2 linked regions of the Diceros bicornis minor genome follow. The protein of the gene in region 1 purifies or fractionates together with the protein of each later gene. This does not show direct contact. Links are inferred from orthologs where the notes say so. Each region holds a gene or a part of one and is shown on either strand. Other genes may lie near its edges.

Evidence for each region.
Region 2: the proteins of KAT7 (region 1) and BRPF3 purify together in Homo sapiens (affinity purification with mass spectrometry; 3 studies listed by BioGRID and IntAct, counting the BioPlex papers as one, with this or other methods). This does not show direct contact. The link is inferred for Diceros bicornis minor from reciprocal best matches to the Homo sapiens genes KAT7 and BRPF3.

What each region holds. Positions count from the first base shown.
Region 1 is NC_080757.1:36,434,334-36,444,326, forward strand, and holds the start of KAT7 (histone acetyltransferase KAT7), read right to left. Parts: upstream 4,209-9,993; 5' UTR 4,039-4,208; coding exon 4,024-4,038; intron 1,498-4,023; coding exon 1,350-1,497; intron 1-1,349. UniProt on the Homo sapiens protein: Catalytic subunit of histone acetyltransferase HBO1 complexes, which specifically mediate acetylation of histone H3 at 'Lys-14' (H3K14ac), thereby regulating various processes, such as gene transcription, protein ubiquitination, immune regulation, stem cell pluripotent and self-renewal maintenance and embryonic development.
Region 2 is NC_080753.1:28,656,571-28,667,081, reverse strand, and holds the start of BRPF3 (bromodomain and PHD finger-containing protein 3), read left to right. Parts: upstream 1-5,836; 5' UTR 5,837-6,006; intron 6,007-6,757; exon of another isoform or gene 6,758-6,931; intron 6,932-8,997; 5' UTR 8,998-9,023; coding exon 9,024-10,477; intron 10,478-10,511. UniProt on the Homo sapiens protein: Scaffold subunit of various histone acetyltransferase (HAT) complexes, such as the MOZ/MORF and HBO1 complexes, which have a histone H3 acetyltransferase activity.

The DNA of each region.
Region 1 (9,993 bases):
TACAATGCAGTCTACATTTTGCTTTAGAGAGGGCCACCTTACATAGAACACACTAGGAATGGTGCCCCCAGGAGTTGTGTAACTCTGTGGTCATGAAGTATAATAACTAGAAAGAGACCCAGAGCTCATGTATTTCCTAGCTATTTTGAATATTTACAACTTTCAGGTTGTAAGAACATTATGCCTCTTCCTTTGCATATACTGTTTCCTTTGCCTATAATAACACTTTCCCATCTTTCAACTTATAAATTGCTACTAACTTCTTTCAGACTTCCATCTGGCCTAAGTTGGCTGCCCCATAGTATTCTATGCAAACCTCTCTCAGAGGCCTTACCACAACGCACTACCATGATCAGTTTATATATCTATATCTCACACTAAACTGTGAGCTCCTTGAGGGCAGGAGCTATGATTTTTCTATCATGGCATGCCAGTACATAACATAGCACCTGAATTATAGCAGCCATTTAATATTCCCATTGTGCTAAAAAAATAAAAACTTAGAAGTTGAGAAATCAAGAGACAACAGGTATACTTCACCTGAAATGTTAAATTCAAAAATAAAGTCAGGAACATTGTTGAGAGAGAATGTTTCCACATTCTTGCCTGAAAAACTGATGTTCTTCTCTGATTTTGCAACATGCACATACAGCAGTAACCAAATCAGCACTATTTAAGTGCTCAAAGTATATTACATTTTTTCCCCCTTAACCCCTTATCATCTATTGTTTATCATCTTTCTGTATTAACTGCAACCTTCTTTCCTCCCCAGGGAATCCCAGAGCAGAGCAAGGAGGGGACAGGCGTACCCTCCAATCTAAGTCCAGATGGTCAATTGTACTAGAGAAACTTCCAACACTGCGACTCTCTATCCTTTACTACCAAAGCAAAATTCTGGGTATTTACAACTGATAGTTGGGTAAACTATTTCTATCTATTAATTGTGTATCTGACTACATTACAGAATTAAACATAGTTTTAGAAGTGTTGGGCCTCCTCCAATAACAAGTTCAAGAGACTATTTTAAGTCTCTAAACTTAACCCATTCTAACAGAAACTGAAAAGATAACATTCCCATTTTACTGATAGGAAAAGCGTAATCTAAAAAAAATTAAATGACTCAAGACATAATTGTGTCACACAGACTTGGTTCCTTTGGGTCTACAAATTGGACAGCACCCCCAAAAGAACCATTTTGAAAGACCTGACACTTCTGCAGTCACTCTGCATTTTACCAGATTCTGTCATCTACAACCAGGCAACAGACCAGTTTCCACATTGACTAGCACAGTGATATGATGACCAGGGAGTTGATGTGAGGCACAGTCAAAAAGAAGGAAGGCTTTTACCTTGGGAACTCTGGCTCAGCCGGGCTGAGGAGCGGGTGACTCGGGCAGATCGCCGGGATGTGCCATCGCTCTCTGAACTATCTGTGTGCTCAAGATCTGTAGAAAAATCGGAATCTTCGGTTCCATCTGAACTACTGCCTGCATTCCTCTGTAACACCATAGATCCAGACATTAGCACAGAAGCATTTACTCTGTGGGTTTGTATTAACACTGGAAATAAAACCAACCATGATGCTGAAAACACCAAGTTCAAACCTAAGAAAGGACTCCACAGCCAACTTCCCTTTATTGAGAGCACTTAAATGGAGAAACCTACAAATAATGCCCCTTTATTGAATAAATGAAGAAAGAGAATTAATTCTTACTATATTATCACTAGAAGAAAGAGAATTAATTCTTACTATATTATCACTAACTCTGAAACAAGTCCATTTGAAGGTCAGTACCACAAACTGGAAATAAAATTATCTAACTCAAAATAGTCTGGCTGGCATAACCATGCACTTAGAGAAAGTCCAAGGTAGTGACACAAATGTTAATGCTAGACTCCATTTAACTTTAGGGTAGCTTTTGTTCAAAATCTCCATAAACAGCTATCACATTTTAAAAAACCATACACTAACTCAAAATATCACGGTCCACAATTCTGATCACAAAAGAACTTAAGCAGAAAAAGAGTAAAATTCTTTCTTATGTTATCTACCTTTAAGTTTCTCCATATGAATGCTTTAAAAAAAAAAAAAGGCAGCTTACACATGAAGACTCATAGGTATTCAAAAACAGAGGGTTCTTTTATTATCTTTTTAATTAATAATTATTTGTTAATTATTAGCCTCCTGAGACATATTTAGCCATAAAGATAACTTTTATCAATTGAGCATTAACACTATACTCTTTACTAAACCAGAATAGGAAGAGTATTTGCTAAAAAAACAATACAAAGCTTCAAACTACAAGTCCCCTATTCTTTATCCAAAAACACTTAGGGCCAGTTGTGTTTAGAATTCATAATTTTTTAGATTTTTCAAAGGGAACACTTTGCATATAGCCTTCAAATAACACCCCCTTACTTAACTTATTAACTCAAGCTTATTAACATTTCTGCAGCAAGATATAAAAGCAATCACACTAAATGAGACACACAAAAATTATAAGTAGCCTCAGGACAGTTTAGAACAGGTTTTGCCACCAAATAAATTACTAAAAAAACTTACATCTTCAAGAGCTCTTTGTATTTGGGAATTGCAGAAAGGGGACTATGGACCTATTCCAAGGCACCAATACTATTCCTGCATTTGGTAAGCCTTAATATAAATACCACCTACTGATGCAGTCATTTTAAGAAACATTAAAAAGTGTAAATATTTTTTTTGAAAACCTCTGGGAAGAGAAAGATTTCTGCAAAAATGAGCGAGAATACCACCCAGCTTTCCAAATGGCAAGAGTAATCTGCCCAGAAATGAGTGGAGGCCCCAGAAAAAGTCACAGATAGTTGATAGGATGAAGGAGACGTCTTAAAGGTGGTCTAGTCCAATTACCCAGACATTTGAATCCCTGATCATCTCTGACCATCCCTTCCAGGCCTGACTCTGGAACTCAGCTCTTCTCTCAGGCTTTCACCAATCTACTTCCCATCTTACTCCAGAGCAGACAATTGCTCCCTCACTTCCCTCCCATAACGCTTTGTATATATACTTCCAAATAGAAAATTTACTAGATCCTTCTACAGCCATTTATATGTCTGTTTTCTCCATCAGACTGTGATTTCCTTAAGCCAGGGATCAAATCGAATTAATTTTTGAATCCCCAGCAACCAGCACGTAGCAAGTAGTCAATAAACATTCGTCGAACTGAATTAGATTTGTTCTGTAGTCCTGGCTCTGCCATTGCCTAATTGAGCGGCTTGAGGTAATCCATTAGGCCTCTGTTCAGCTGCAAAGAGAAGGGATGGGGGTGTCCCTAGGTGATCTCGTAAGTCTCATCTAATTCTAGAAAGTTTCTGATTTTACGAACTGCATTTTCTAGGCGCTGTCCAACTAGGCAAATAAGGAAAAATTATGGCTTAAAGGCAACAGGCCAGAGTGGGATCCCCTGGGAGTGGGCGCTGGTTCTCTACCACCCACTCCTCCGCTTTGTTGTACCCCCCGCCCGGAAAGGAAGGATGCTCCGAAACCCCGCCTCTCCACCGATTAGCTTCACCAGCCGGAAGGGCCGGGATTCGCGCCACCAATCGGGGTCCCGCTAAACCGCGCCCCCACGGGACAGATTGCCAAGGGCAGCCAATTAAGAGAGGAGGGATCGTTCTCCACAGCCAATCCGAGCGCGGTAGGGCCGGGCCAGACACTGCCCCCGCACGCGGGGAGGTGACCGTTGGGCCCAAATGGGCGGTGTCATCAGCCAATCAATGTTCTTCCACACGTTGCAGCGACCAATTAACAAGAAGAACGCCTCCGAGCCAGGCAAGCAGAGGGCGGGAATAGTTGCAGGCATAGGCCGAGGCCAGGGTCGGGCCCACATTTTTCCGTTGGGTACCGACAGAAAAGAGGGTTGCTGAGCTAGGTTCCGGGGAGCGGGAAGTTGGAGCCCAGCCAGTGTGAGGCGTGGCTAACTGCGTCACGTTGCTCAATCGACCGTCCTTAGAAACCCGCCATCCCTCCCGTCCTGTTCCTCTCACCTTCCTTCGCGGCATTGCCGGCGGCTGCGGCCCGACGGTTCCGATTCGGGCAGCGGCGGCAGCAGCAGTAGGAACGGTGGCTCCGGCGGGCTCCGTGGCGGCCTCTGTAGCAGTCCCAATCCTGCGGACGATCCCAAGTGCCTCCTGCTTCACAGCGTCTAAACCCTTCCGCGCAGGCGCCGCGGGCTGAGGCGCTTTTTCCTTCACTTCCGGTTGGGGCTCGCGTCACCTGACGTTACTGGCTAGAGAGGGTGCTGGGAGGTTTAGTTCCTTCCATTGAGGCCAGTGAGCGCCATTTTGGAATGGGGCAAAAAGTGGCACCGATAGAAGAAACCCGGGCCAGCCATTTTTAGTTAGGGGAATGGCTCTCTTTGTGGGCGTGGGTAGCCGTTCTTGTTTGGGGCAGAAGCCTGATAGTTGAAGCTAACGGTTCTCATCTTTATCTTGGGCAAAAGTCCCCTTCCCGGTCGTTTTAATTCTGAAGTCGAGAAAGGAAACCCCCAGAATCCATCAGGTTGCTGAGATTTAACCCATTCGTTGCCTAATTGGCTAAAGGACGTCTCCGTTTAGCATATAAACTCAAACTTGGGAAGGGATACTTTGCTCAAGAAACTGTATTTTAAGAGCTGGCCTGTGTCTCAAAGTGGTGGGAATGGGGGCTCGTAAAAGGAACGAAGGGGTAGCGTCCATCATCAGGAAGTTTCTTGCCTGGTAGAGGAGACATTGTCCTTGCCATTAGCGAACAGCGAGTAAGTTAGTCTTTCACGTTGCAGGAGGAGGCAAGATCCTTCTCCAGAAGCGGTATGGGTTTGAGAGCCCTGGGTGGCCCGCGGGGGTGGGGGTGGGTGTTGTACCAGAGTTAGAGAAGCATTGAACTCCGTTTAGCCCAAGTGACCTCGGGAAATCCAGATGCTTGAACTAGGAGTTGGGGGAGGGAAGAAGAGGAAGGAGTATTTTTAGTGAAGCTGGAGCTAAAAAAAAAAAAAAAAAAAAAAAACAGGCATGGATAGGGCCTGCTTTGAGAGGACCTAGGAAGGAGAAGTTGGTCAAGGAAACAAGACTGGAAGAAGAGCCATAAGCAAAAGCTGGGAAGTGGAGAGCAGGCGTTGAGGATTTTGTCTCGCTGCAGGAAAAGCCTTGAGAGGACCAAAGCTTGGCCAAAAGTGACTGGGTGGAATCCAGGCAAGCTCAGTCATTAAGTTAGGATCCAGTCATTAAGTTAGGATCCTGGACCCCAGATTCACCTGAGGCCCGCTAAGATGGAGATTTCCCCCTGGAGCAGAACTAAAGAACAAAGCAGCAGAAGGTAAACATCTGATTGATATGCTAAACAGAGGACTCTGAAGAGTTAAAGTTCCAGACTCATCGCCAGCACTCTCCTTGGGGATATTCTGGGCCGGTGTTAACACAAGCAGCTTTTAGTATTTAGTATTTAGCTTTTAGTGTTTAGTATAAATAGCTTCGAATAACCTACTCAGGTAGAACTGCACATAAGAACTTATTTGACAAGGGCTCACATTTCTTCTTTTGTATTCGTTCAGCACTTAAGCATTTAATTTCACACTATTACTGTTATTTTGCACTTACTGGTGTATTCCTGAGGTCACTCTTGGATGTTCTGGCCCCCTGACTAGTGGGAAGGAGCTCTTGTGTTAAGAGCATACATGAGTTCTTTCATACCATCCTTAATAGTGCTCAGACCATGCCCTAACCACAGTAAATGCTTGCTTGTTAATCAGAATATGTTTACGGGTTCACAGTCTCTGAATGTATAGTACTCAAAGATGGTGAAGTATCCCTCCCTGGAAATTAGTATTTTAGAATAAGATCTTATCCTGACTTAACCATTCATCATACACATACCAGCATTACAAATGTTCAACATTGGTTAATCTCTTACATTGGATTTTCAAACACTGCAGCTAACACTAAAAGAGTTTACAGTTTCTTTTAGACGTGGTTCTTATCCTTGGAAAGTGTACACTCTGGCGGAAAGATGAAAAAACTAACACCAATAGGAAAGAAATATGATCATAAGGAAAATGTGTACTTAAGATGAAAGTAAAACAGCTAGGTATATTTAGAATGGGGAAGGAGGAATCCTAAAAGCTTTTTTCTTTCTTCTTTTTTTTGAGCAAGATTGGCCCTGAGCTAACATCTGTTGCCAGTCTTCCTCCTTTTTTTTTCTCCCCAAAGCCCCACTACGTAGTTGTAGGTCCTTCTAGTTTTTCTATGTGGGATGCTGCCTCAGCATGGTTTAGTTGAGCGGTGAGTAGGTCTGTGCCTGGGATCAGAACCCGCAAACCCCAGGCCGCTGAAGCACAACACATGAATTTAACTGCTATGCCACCGGGCCGGCCCCATTCCTTTCTCTTTTTTGAACCAAACATAACCTTTACTTTGGGTGTCATATTCATCGTAACACAATTAGCTCTGGAAGCAGAAATTGATGTTGGTGTCAAAGCCTTTGACCAGTTGCCCCCCTGCCCATCCTCACCCGCCAGACTTCACATAGGTAGCTCCGCTGTTCTTCCCGCCTTGACGCTTTCACACAGGCTTTTCTTCCTGCCTGGGTGCATCTCCCAACCTTCGTTAAAATTTACTTTCTTCAGAAAATCTTTCCTGATTTATTCTTTCTAAGGTAGTAGGGCATAATGATATGTTATTTTGTACTTCCTGCCGTATTTATACTTTTCCTTGTATAATTTGGTAGATGTTCTGCTCCCCTCTCTCCTTCCCAAATGAATAATAGGAACGTAACTCTTATTTATTTCACTCATCAGCTCTAATAGTGTCAAGTACAGGGCTTTGATGTCAGATCTCGATTTGAATTTCAGCTCTGCCACTTTTTATCTGCATTGCTCTTGGATGTGTTTTTCAATTTATCTGGGCCTCAGTTTTCTCATATGTGAAGTGGAGACACTAATAGCCCCCTCACAGTGTTGTTGTCAGGATTAAAGGCGATGATCATTGTAAAGCGCTTAGCACAGTTCCTGACAGAGTAAATGTTCAGTAAATGGCCGTTGTTATTGATATTTATAATTTCAATCCCCCTGGCCATGGCTATAACATCTTAATGTTTGTGAATATATCTTTACATAGTCTCAATGGTGGTTTGCTTTTGTGTGTTCAACCTCACTTCAGCTCAAGAGACACAGAGTGATTAGCCAGGCCTTATATACCAGGCATCGAGTGACACTAGTATGCACAAAACATCGTGTTTCCCCAGGCCAGTAAGCTTGTTGTTGTAAAACGCTGTAAAGTATTAATGGGAAAACAGAAGGAAGAGCAAGGTTCAGAAGTGATACAGAGGAGGAAGTGGAGTGTTTTGTCTGGAAGGTTTAGGGAAGGATTCATAGAAGAGGTGAAATAAGAGTGGAATTTCATAGGACAAATAAGTTTGCTGGTGGACAAGGAGGATAGGGGCTTTCCACGCAAAGGGAACAGCACATACAGATGTGGAGCGGCATCGTGTATGGGGGGTGACTAATGGCATGGTGGAGTTCGGGTGGTTGCCAAAAGAAGAGACAGGAATGGTTTAGGGAACCAGTTCATGCTGAGACTTGAATACCCTGCTAAGGAGCCTGGGCTGGAGGTGATGAGGAATCTCTGAGGGACTTTAAGCAGAGGAGTCCCATGATCGGACTTGCACTTTAGAGATTTCTTTCTGGAAGCTGTGAGGGGGACTGATCAGAGTGGCAGGGAGATGGGTTAGAACACTGCAGTAATAACCTCACCCAGAGCTGAGGAGGAACTGAACAGGGGAGGGGTAGTGGGAGCAATCTTTTGTGTGTGTCCTTGTGCATTTTCTTTCTTGTATTTGTATCTTGTCTTCTCAGTTACATTTGTAAGCTCACTAAAAGATGCCTCCATTTCCTTTAAAATGCTCCCCTTGCCAGCAAAATGATAGATATTCAAATACAAAGTGTAGTTTTTTGTTGTTTGCTTCAAAGACCTGAGAGCTCCTAGAGGTTGGGAGCCTTGCCTGGCTGACCACACCATCTCCAGCTTCTCCCTTGCTGCCTAGCATCTAAAAGGGCTCAGTAGCGGGGCAGCCTGGTGGCTCAGCAGTTAGTTCGCGTGTTCCACTTTGGCGGCCCGGAGTTCACCAGTTTGGATCCTGGGCGCGGACCTACTCACCGCTCATCAAGCCTTGCTGAGGCGGCATCCCACATAGAAGAACTAGCAGGACCTACAACTAGGATATACAACTATGTACTGGGGCGTTGGGGGATTTAAAAAGAGAGAGAGAGGGGAAGATTTGCAACAGATGTTAGCTCAGGGCTAAGCTTCCTCAAAAAAAAGGGGGGGGGGCTCAGTAAATGGGATGGCCACCGCCAGGTGTTGGCTCAGTTAGGAAAGACGTGCACAGAACCTGCCATCCTCTCTCCTCTAAGCCTCTTTTTGACCAGTGATGTCCCTAGGAGGGATTAGGGACAGCAGTTTCCTCTGTGTCCAGATACCTGTCCTGTAAGGTGGGGAAGTGTGCCTTGACCTTTTTAAAACAATGCTAGTGTAGCCAGGCCAATCTCATAACTTCCGGGTAAAAGCTTAGGCCTAGTCTCTATCCCTGTGGGAGAATCTCAGAGGTTGCTGATAAGACCATAATTCGTATTAAAATCTTTTCATTTACATCCGCCTTAAATATAGAGTCAGCACAGTCACTAATGGTCCCTCCTTTCTTACTCTTGCCTGAGATAGCCTGGATCTTCTCTTACCTTCTTAGCCACTTTTTTTTTTTTAAATCTTATTTATTTATATACTTTCCCCCCAAAGCCCCAGTAGATAGTTGTATGTCATAGCTGCACATCCTTCTAGTTGCTGTATCTGGGACGCAGCCTCAGCATGACTGGAGAGGCGGTGCGTCGGTGCACGCCTGGGATCCGAACCCGGGCCGCCAGCAGCGGAGCGCGCACACTTAACCACTAAGCCGCGGGGCCGGCCCTTAGCCACTTGTTAATTTGGTTCTTGTATCACCCTTATCCACCACCCACCCCCAGCAGGAAGGGTATTGGGGGAAGGTATTGGACAGATCCCAGCAGGCTCAGGCACAGCTCCCTGCCTCTGCAGCTGGGGTTATAAATAACCACAAAAACTAAACAAATAACCACATTTTGAAAATTGCTAAAAAAAATTACTCTGATCTTGATTTAATAGCAGTTCTTCTCCCACTCCTGCCCTTCATCTCCTCCCTTCCTCCCCTTATCTACCTCCCCTCGCTGATCCAAGCTCCCTAGGGAAGTCAATCTGAGCACAAAGCCATCGTATGATGAAGACATCCTTTTCCATATTTGACAGGGCCTAAGCCCTCCAGGGCTGTAGTTATAGTTACACGATGTTGTTATGGCAGCAAAGGCCTCAGGGCAACATATGTTCCTGGGTGGTAATCGGGTTTGCTTTAACAGACTGTCTCCCTGGGTTCTCCATGCCCAAATTCACTTATCAAGAAGACCAGGGAATTGCCATTATGGATGGGCTTTCATTTTTTTATTCCAGCAAAACCAAATTCCTCTTTATTCCCCAGGATGGAATGTACCCAGTGATCATGGGTTGAGACTTTTTAGACTGCAGGCATTTTCATTTATTCATTCAACAAATATTTATTGAGCATCTGATAAGTGCTAGGCATCGGGCTGGGAGCCGAGTGCACACTATGAGTAAACAGATGTGGTCCTTTCCTTCCTAGAGCTGATGATTTAGGATAAGTGTGTACCGGAGGGGGCTGAAGGAGTGTAACTTTCACCTGCCCCAACCCCTTCCACCTTTTCAAAAATTATTAACCCAGTGTAATAACACTAAATAAGTTTTTGAGAAAATAAGAGACATCCTTAATCTCACTGCTGCCGCAAAGCTATTTTTATTTTTTGCATATTGCCTTCCAATTTTTCTCCACATGCATACATTTTATTATATGTGTACAATTTTGTATAGATGCAGTCATTGTTGACATGAAATTTCATATTTTTCACA
Region 2 (10,511 bases), on another chromosome or scaffold:
CCGTTAGAGTCAGTGCTCTCCTCCACCTCCAGGCAGCCACCAATCTGCTTTCTGTCACTATAGATTAGTCTGCATTTTCAAGAATTTCATATAAATGGAATCATACTTGATGTTACAACAGGTATTTTTGACTAATCAAAGGCTAGATTAATCCTTGAACTTTACTCTTTCCCTAGACAATGCAAGGACCTTAAAACACTTTAATCCTGGAATTCTCTAGTATCCTCTAATCCATCGCTTCTTAACTTTAATATGCATATTGTAGTAGTCAGAGTTCTCCAAAGAAATGGAAGCAACAGGAGATAGATAGGTAGGTAGGTAGGTAGATAGATAGATAGATAGATATAATGAGGATATTATAGGAATTGATTCAAGCAATTACGGAGGCCAAGAAGTCCCACAATCTGTCACCTGCAAGCTGGAGAACCAGGAAAGCCAGTGATATAATTCAGTCCAAGTCCAAAGGCCTGGGAACCAGGAGCACCAATGTCCACGGGCAGGAGAAGATGATGGATGAACTCAAGCAGAGAGCAAATTCGACCTTTCCTTACCTTTTTGCCCTGTTCAGGCCCTCAAGGGATTTGATGATGCCCACCCACACTGGTTAAGGTGATCTTTACTCAGCCTATGGATTCAAACGCTAATCTCTTCCAGAAACACCCTCACAGATACACTCAGAAATAATGTTTTACCACCTATCTGGGCAACTCTTAGCCCAGCCAAGTTGACACAAAAAAATTAACCATCACACATATGAATCACTTACGGGGATCTTGTTAAAATGCAGGTTCTGGTTAAATAGATGCTATTATTTTTGTGTATTTTCTCTCTCTTTAGTAAAATTACACCAAGTAGATGGCTATTTGCAGGGTCGGCTCTTTTGCTAAAATATGGAAATAATTTATATTTTATGGTGTCCTGACGTCCCTCATGATTGCGTTTAAGATTTAATAGAAACGTTAATTAAAGGTTGAAATGAAAAGACATTAAATCAGGTTGAACAATTTACACTTGCCACAAACTATTTACTTTCAGGCTTGTGCTGTAGCATTCCACTGAGTATACAGTAAAATGTTCTAGCTAGAATTCAGTCCAAAGAGGATAACGCAAGACATACTAGATGGATGATTTAAACCATATTGGACCATACTCTCTTGCCTGACTATATCTTAAAGCATGGAACTATTCAAGTCATTTCCCTGTTCCAAAAATCACAGGGGACTACTGCCCTTTCACATCCAGTCCCCCACCTAACAGCCTCCATGCTCTGACTTTTACCTTTCCAGCCTTTTCTCTTGCATCTCCCATTTTTGGGTCAAATGTGGTAACCCACTGTTCCCCGAATCAATCTTACGGTGTTCCACCTTTCTCTGCTCATGCTAGTGCTCAGCCTGGACCACACTCCCTCTACCATCCTCCTAGTTGACGCTCAACCCAAGCTTTAAGGTGGAGCTCAAATGGCACCTTCTTCACGGAGCCTTCTCTCTTCTCTAAACTCTCACGCCATTTTGCTTGCATCTCTGTTGAGGTGCTTATCTGCTGTTGTATGTTTCAGTTATTAAATACTTGCTTTATTCCTGTGATTAGATTTTAAGTGCCTTCAAGTCTGAGAGCATAGCCTTTTCACCTATGTAGACTTCACAGGTGTAAAATAGAACCTTACCTGCAGCTCAGAAATAATTATTGAATGAATATGTATTTTAGTGTAAACAAAAGAGGCTCCATTTCCTCAATCCTCGGGTGTTCAGATGCACAGAAGCTCCTGAGTAACCCTTTGCCGTCTCTTAATTTGCAATAATTGTACTAGCATTCTAAAAACCTCCTAAATTTGAACTTACATTCATGTTTGATCTTCTCCTTTGTCCCTATGTCCAATCAGTCATCAAACTGTTGATATGTCTTCTGATTTTACCCCTTCTTTCCCTCCTCTTTCTCTACCATCTCTTCCATCATTCTGGTTAATGCCCTTTTATTTTCATAATGCCTAATTACCTATAGCGAATTCTTCCTGGTTTACCTAATACTGTTCCTGCTCTAGTTTATCCTATACATAATGGGGACCATAATAACAGTAATTTCACAGAGTTAATAAATGGATAAATGAGATGTGGCATACATATTGGACCTATTTTGTACATGTGCCCACTATATCTTTGGAGAATCACCTCTTGCCCACGTCCTCTGGTTCTAGTAGTAGACAATGACCAGACCTAATCAGAGTATCATGTCTTTCTGGCACAGCTATCAGCTCAGGTTGGCTGGAGATCACAAGAGACAGTGTCCTGATGACATAATTTGAGTCTCTTGACTTTACCTTGTCTAAAGCCAGATGCACCCCTGGACTTTCTGGGTTTTAGAGTCAATAGATTTCCTTTATTAATTAAACTAATTTGAGTTCATTTTCCAATGCAATGAAGATTTCTGATAAATACAGTATGTAAAGCACTAAGCAGAGTACCTTGCACTAAGGTACTATTTTATTGTCCTTATACCCGTGCCATACCTCATATCCAATTCAACTTTTTCTTTCTTAACATCTGCCCATACACACCAGCTAGGATAATTTCCTTATTATTCCCTGGCTGGGCTGCCCTGTGAACAACCTAATAATGTCATTCCAGTCTTTTCATCAATCCACATCCATCACTATTTAGAATCTGGCTAAAAGAAGCCTCCCATCCTCCATTTGAATAATGGTTGGCTCCACACTGTTAGCTGCCTTATCTAATTTCTCCTGCACATATTTTCTGGTTATTTCTAGCTTGCTTCTTGATTGTACACTACTCAAGGCAAGGAAAAATATATTTTATGTTTACATACGATCACTGGGTCCTTTCTAGGTCAAGGTTTAGTCATTATTTTCCAAAGCAACTTGTACAGTTTTGGACACAAAACCTATTGATTGGTGTTCAATAAGTGTCTGTTACAGGAATAAATGAATGGAATTAAATTTAGAGGGTGTGGAATTCAATTTAAAGCCTGCTGTTAGCCTAAACTTTTCCCTTTTTCTAAGCAAACTTTATATTCTTAAACCATTTTCATTACAGCATAAAAATATCACAGTGATTCCAACCTCCAACATTCTTCCCATTTATGGTTTCAGAATTCTTTTAGCTAAGGTCTAAGGAAGGAATATTCTATTAAAAATAATCTAACAATCAATCAAAGCCTATTTTCTTCTTATCATACATATTTTATTAATTCAGTGGGTATTGCATCTGACCCTTGAGTTTTCTTGCCTTAGTAAACTAATGATAGTAGTAAAGCATTAACAAAGATATCCTGAGATGTAAAAAAAAAAATTGGGGGGAAACTTTTTGTATTCATGTTTCCTCTTTTAGTTCTAAATGGTAAACATTCTCCTACTCCAAATAAGCTAGTTTCTACTTAGAAATGCAGGATTTAAAAAAACTACTATTTGGAATCAAAGGTCTGTGCCTCTGTTTGTTGAATTTAGTTGCTGTAGGGTTTAATGGAAAGGCCAAGGGCTGGTGAATCTAAATTCTTTAAAGTAGCTAAAAATTAAAGTGAATTAAAGTTAGTCCCTCTGGGATTTTTCATACATGTTCCAAATTCGTTTTTAATGACATAATTGTCCCATGTTACATTTAAGATTACATCATAGTGAACTGGTTATATGTGCAGTTACACTAAGAGAAACCAATTCCAAACGTCAAAAACAAAAGTGAGGACAACTATAATGTTACCATTAAGAGAGAGGAAATTGAAAATAGAAGAGAAACACTTAAGTTGAATAAGGTCTTACTATGAAAGCTTTGAATAGAAAAACCTGGAAATCATATGTATTAGGTTAACTTAATGCATTTTCAACAGCATTTAAATCATTATTTTATTCACTGTTACAAGTGGAAACCAATGCATTTTCTCAAGGTATTTATTCATAATTTTAGTGGAAAAAGATATCTCCCAATCACACAAATGGGAATTGTGCTTAATAAATTTTGAGAACATCCATCAAGAAATAAAAGTTACTTGTCATATGTATAAATGGTTAGATTTCACGTTTTAAAAGAACAAGAAATGAAATTCAGTATTCTTGTTTCTTTTAATCTTCAGTGGTTTTTGTTTTTTTTTTTTTTCCTTAACTAAAGTAATCGTAATATTCTCTTGCCTCTAGGGCTTTCTCTTCCACAATTAATCACTTTTTCTTCCACACTTTCCCTCCAAATGATTATTCCCCCTAGCCTTACAACACTTGACATTAATTCACACTATTTCATCTTCACAGCTTTCAAAACATTGCCTGCCCTTGCTTAGCTCCACAAGCCACTCCTTTTTCTTTTAAAAGTCGGTTACCAGAAGTAATTTTACTATCACTTTGGCAGAAGGTGCTACCATGTAATCAGAAAAAAAATCTTTGTAATACAAATTAGCTTCCTGACTTTTATCAACCTTTCAAATTCGAAACACAATATATTTAAATTCCTTAAGATATTGAACACCTATACTTCAAAAGTAGCAGTACTTTCAATTTAAACATTTGGAAGACTTGGACTCTAAGACTTTATCTTTCATCCTCTGACTCTAGAATCCGTGTCCTTGATCATCAGAACCGAGCAAGAAATTGTGAGTCTCACCAAGCTCCACCCCCAGCGCGGGCAGAGGAAACGCTTTCAAAATATGTCATTCATCTTCACATTTAAAGGCAGTCTATCCCTACATCCTTTATAAACATCACTAAATATTGGTGCTTAAGACTTCAGTCATATGAGGTAAGTTTCCCAATTTATAGGCAAAAGGGGGGTGGCAAGGGAGACCTCTTCTCTTCTTAAATTTATCAAAACAAAAGTGGTCTGATTACATCTCCAACTCTGAAGTTGCCATTTGTCAAGCATCTTTTAGAAAGCCGCTTATTGTATTAAATTAGCCGACTCCTAGCCAAATCAGGTTTAAGGAGTGTTTCCCACGTCTACAGTGACAAACGAGTTACCAGACGTCCTTAAATAGACTGTCAAACTTTTATGTTTACTCTCTTTAAACGAAGGGAGAGGATGGCACACAACGAAAAGTCAGGTCTGTTTCTTAAGAAGGATGTCTTGTAGGGAACCAGACGCTCACCTGTACAAAACAGAGGCAGGTCTTTCCGGGCTGTCCTCACTGGGGGAGGGGATGGACATTGCTAGACCTTTGTCCTCCGGACCTGAGCACCGGGTGAAGGGTGGGCGGCTTTCTGGGGGTAGTGCAGGCACCTGCACCCCAAGAAACTACAGACCGGTTTTGATTTCAACGACTGTCTTGGCTTAACCTTTGGAGGGGTCCTCTAGCTCGGGGAGGGGGTTTGCTGCCCCAGACCTTAGCCACCTCCTCCGCAGGGATAAGGGGAGTGGACGACCGACCACCCTAAAGAGTTAGGTACCCCCATCTTTCCCAACTAGACCCGAACGTCCCCAGCTCTCTTGCTGGGCTCGCCCCCGCGGCGGGCTGGGCCGGGGTGAGCCGGGGCCGCGGCGGGCAGACCCCGTCTCCGCTCGGCGCCCCTGCCGCGTCCGCACCGCCACCGTGAGGCCGAGCAGGGGACGGTGCCCCGTGGCGGCGGCGGCTCCGCGCTCCTCTCCGCGCCGCCCCGGCCGCCGGCGCGCCGGGCACAGGCGGGGGGATTTTTTTCCCGTTTCCCCCTCTTTCGCGCTCTCGCTCCTGTTCGGCGGGAGAGCCCGCGGAGCCAGGGAGGGAGCGAGGGAAGGGGTGGAGGTGGCGGGGGGAGGCCGGAGGGGCGGATCCTGCCTGGGGGCTGATCCCTCCCTCCCCTCGGCCGGGCTCCGTGGCGGCAGCGGCGGCGGCGGCGGCTCCATTCCCCCTCCTCCCCCGGGAGCGGCGGCGGCGGCCGGGCCGGGGCCCCAACGCGGGCCGGGAGGGGGCACGGCGGTGGCCGCGGAGCCCAGCGCGGGAGGAGGCCGCTCTCCGCTCCCCGGGCCGCGCGGACCTGCTCGACGGCCGGCCCGCCCGCGCCCAGGGGCCCCGAACGGTGGGGCCGGGCCGGCGGCTGAGGTAATGGGGGCGGCTGCGGGGCCGGCCAGAGCGGGGGCGGGGGCAGCGGGGCCTACGGGGACCAGGGACTGCGTTCGGGGGAGGGAAGCGGGGTCTTCCCGAGCGGGGTGGGGGTGGTGCGAAAGCTCTCTCCTGGCGCGAGGGCGGCGGCGGGGAAGGAGAAGGCGGGTGAGGGGGGGAGCTGAAAAGCGAGGACCCCCTCCCGCAGCCGCCATCTTGTTTTCCTGCCCCCGGCCCTGGAAGCGGAGCTGTCGAGCCCCGCCCCCGCCACGCTCTCTAATTGGTCAGGCCCGAGGAGAGTTACACCCTCTGAACGGTTTTTGGTCCCCCGGTTCCTCCTGACGGGCAGGTGAGGGGGCCAATGGGCGCTCGCCTCTCTGCCCCGCTCGGTCGCTGGCGCTAGCTTTCTCTGTGTGAGGGTCGGACGCAGCGTCAGTCTGTCTCTGGCGCGCTCGCCCCCTCCCCTGTGGGGAGGTGATGTTATTTCCCTCCTTTCTCCTCCGAAGGGTGAAGATTCTTCTGGAAGAGGTGCCCCTTTAAAGGGGCAGGAACCTGGGCTGAGGTCCTCCCTTGGCTCAAGAGTATCTCCTGTGGGGTGCAGGGGGCTACAGTCTAATTGCAGAAACTCCTCATTCTTCGGGGACGTGGGTGGGGTGGGGGAGTGGGGGCTCAGGGGGTGCCTAGGAGAACTCTGGGGGTCTTGGAGATATTTGGAGGTGTGTGTGTGTGGGAAGGGCTGTGTGGGATGAGAAACTCCCGCCAAAAATCTAGACTGGAAGCTCCTTGTGGGCGAAACTCACGTTATTTTCCTCAGCAGCAGCGCTTTCCCCTCTAGAGTTTGTGCCCAGTGTCCAGAGTCTTGGAGAGGTCTCAGTAGATACTTGCTGCTTGGTTGAGAGATACCCGAGCTGTGAGAAGGCAACAGGTAGGGAGGAAGAATATATGGTGGCTTTAACAAAAGAGGGGCCACACCCTCTCTCTCAACTATTTCAAGTTAGTGTGTTTTGAGGTCGCTTTTCACAGCTCTGCAAGGGTCTCCATGCCCTTGAGAGGGTGGGGGCAGTAAAGCAGGTCTGTTGGCTTGGGCTGCCCCGAGGGAGTTGGCATTTGTAAGGCATGTAGTGGCCAAGGGCCTCTGGATCCTGGACAGAATTGCTGTGATGATTCTGTTTCCTTTGGCTCCAAATGGGGTGTGTGCCTGCCTGGCACTGTTCCTCAGCCAAGTCTTTTGTTTGGTTGTATGTTTCAGTCACACTTTGGGATTGGAAGGCCTTTTAAATAAGGATGTTAATAATACCTTATTAACAAATAGCAACCCTTAAGAGGTAGCTTTTATTCATTTCATTTTATTGATGGAGTATGGAGGCACAAGAGAGATTAAGTGACTTTCTCCAGGTCACACAGGACCAAGATTAGAACCTAGATTGCCCCAGAGCCTCTTGTTGTACCAGACCATGGTATCTCTGTGGCGTTCTTACCTCACTGATGTGAGTTGAGCAAATCAGAAGATCTGGGTTGAATTGTAGTTTCATCACTTACTAGCTTTGGGTTGAGTGCCAGCTTTCTGAGCTTCTGTTTCTTCATCTGTAAAATGGAGATAATATCATTCTGCCTCCCAAGCTAGTTGTGAGAAATATTACAAGTAAAAGGGCTTTGTAGTTTGTAAAAGTGTGCTCAATTATCATCACTATCTTTGCTTCATAAGGATGGTAGATCCCACAACCAAGGTGACAAAATGTTTTTCTCCTTGAAATCCTCTCCCTGTTCATACCCTTCCTAGTCTCTGCCCGCACCTCAGGGCACCATATCCCTAAAGACCTTTCCTGGTAGTGATGGCCTTAGTAACTGCCTACCATAGCTCCTTATGAGCTTGTCCAAGTTCCCTCCATCCAGAGAATGATGTGGGAAACTTTAGGGCTTTTTCTGCTGCACAAGGGTAGACTGATGTAAGTATTTTGGGAGAGAGGGACTTTTGAGGTAACAATGCATTGAGATTTTACCTCAGGTATTGCCCCAGTCACCTTGGCCTTAGGTCCAATGAGGGTCCCAGATAGGCAGCTTACAACTTCAGTGCCACTTGGGGTCGCTCCCAGAGCTTCCGGGGCTTCTGCATAGAGGTATATTAGCCAGTGCATCCTGAATGCTGCCTTTTGCAGAGAAAACCCTGCATGCTGTAGTTTGAAGTCCATAGACCACATGTGATAGACATTTCAGTTGCCTTCACTCCTTTACCCTGGGGGCATGGTCAGGGAATAGGATTTCTAATCATGATAAGATGGGTTGGGAGAGGGCTCTAGACCTGTGAATTTTTGATCCTCTGATGGGGCCACTGTTCATGTACAGAGCTTGAAAGTGGGTGCTGTTCTTGTTTTCTTCTTTTCTGAAGCCTTAACCACCCCCTTCTTTTCCATCGTTAGCTGTCCCACAGCCTTACGTACATCATTAGAACATTAGATCTCTCCCAGTGTCACATTGTAATGATCTGTTTACTTTTCTGTCCCTTCAATCAGACAGAGCTCCTAGAGGGCAGGGATCATGCGTGTTTGATTTCTTTCATTCAGCTTTAGGAGCTAGGCACCATTCCAGGTGCTGGGCATACAGCAGTACACAAGACAGGCAAAATTCCTCCCATCATGGAGCTTACATTCTAGTGGAAGGAAACAAACATACATGATAAATAGGTAAATTACATAGCACAGTAAAAAATGGTGAGTATTATAGTGAAAAATAAAGCAGAATGAAAGATTGCTGGTGGGGGAAGGGATTTGCAATTTTAGATAGAATTGTCAGAGAAGGTCTCACTGAGAAGCAGTGTTTGTGGAAAGACTTGAAGGAGGTGAAGGAGCAAGCCTTGTGGATGTCTGAGGGGCTGGATGTTTAGACAGAGGGCATAGACAGTCCCCTCGGTGGCCACTCGATCAGATGGAAGGGTGAATGAATACGTGCATGCCTGAACATCCAGCTCATGGTCTCCTGGCTTTGTTTCCTCAGGCCTGTCCCCTAGGTTCCCAGGTGCCATGAGGAAGCCGCGCCGGAAGTCGTCGCGGCAGACTGCCGAGGGCCGGCGCTCCCCGTCACCTTATAGTCTGAAGTGCTCACCCACCCGGGAGACCCTAACATATGCCCAGGCCCAGCGGATTGTCGAGGTGGACATCGATGGACGCCTGCATCGGATCAGCATCTATGACCCGCTCAAGATCATCACAGAAGATGAGCTGACTGCCCAGGATATCACCGAATGCAATAGTAACAAGGAAAACAGTGAGCAGCCTCAGTTTCCTGGCAAGTCCAAAAAACCCTCATCCAAAGGCAAGAAGAAGGAGTCCTGTTCCAAGCATGCGTCCGGCACTTCCTTCCACCTCCCGCAGCCCAGCTTCCGCATGGTGGACTCAGGCAGCCAGCCAGAAGCACCCCCGCTACCTGCTGCCTACTACCGCTACATTGAGAAGCCACCTGAAGACCTGGATGCAGAGGTAGAGTATGACATGGATGAGGAAGACCTTGCCTGGCTGGACATGGTGAATGAGAGGCGGCGAGTAGATGGGCACAGTTCAGTGTCTGCAGACACCTTCGAGCTGCTGGTGGACCGGCTTGAGAAGGAGTCGTACTTGGAGAGTCGCAGCAGCGGGGCCCAACAGTCTCTCATTGACGAAGATGCCTTTTGCTGTGTGTGCCTGGATGATGAATGCCACAACAGCAATGTCATTCTCTTCTGTGACATCTGCAACCTGGCTGTACACCAGGAGTGCTATGGCGTCCCCTACATCCCCGAGGGTCAGTGGTTATGCCGCTGTTGCCTGCAGTCTCCCTCCCGGCCTGTGGATTGTGTCCTCTGCCCCAATAAGGGTGGCGCCTTCAAACAGACCAGCGATGGGCACTGGGCCCATGTAGTATGTGCCATCTGGATCCCTGAAGTCTGCTTTGCTAACACCGTGTTCCTGGAGCCCATCGAGGGCATTGATAATATCCCACCTGCCCGCTGGAAACTAACCTGCTGTATCTGCAAGCAGAAGGGGCTGGGTGCTGCCATCCAGTGCCATAAGGTGAACTGCTACACAGCTTTCCATGTGACGTGTGCACAGCGGGCTGGGCTCTTCATGAAGATTGAGCCCATGCGTGAAACCAGCCTCAATGGCACCATCTTCACAGTGCGCAAGACCGCCTACTGTGAGGTCCACTCACCGCCAAGTGCTGCCACTGCTAGAAGGAAGGGCGACTCCCCTGGAAGCCTCGGTGAGGCTGGGGATGAGGAAGGGCTGAAGGAGGGCTGTGAGGAGGAGGAAGAGAAGGAAGAGGTGGAAGAGGAGGAGGAAGATGAAGGCCAAGGTGGGGTAGGTGGCCAACTCAAGGGAGTGCCCAAGAAGAACAAGATAACTTTGAAGCAGAAGATCAAGAAGGAGCCAGAGGAAGTGGGCCGAGAGACGCCCTCAAATGTCCCCATGGTCGCTGTCCCACAGATACCTTCTTACAGGTGAGCCTGCCCAGGAGCGCTCCCCAGGGACTCG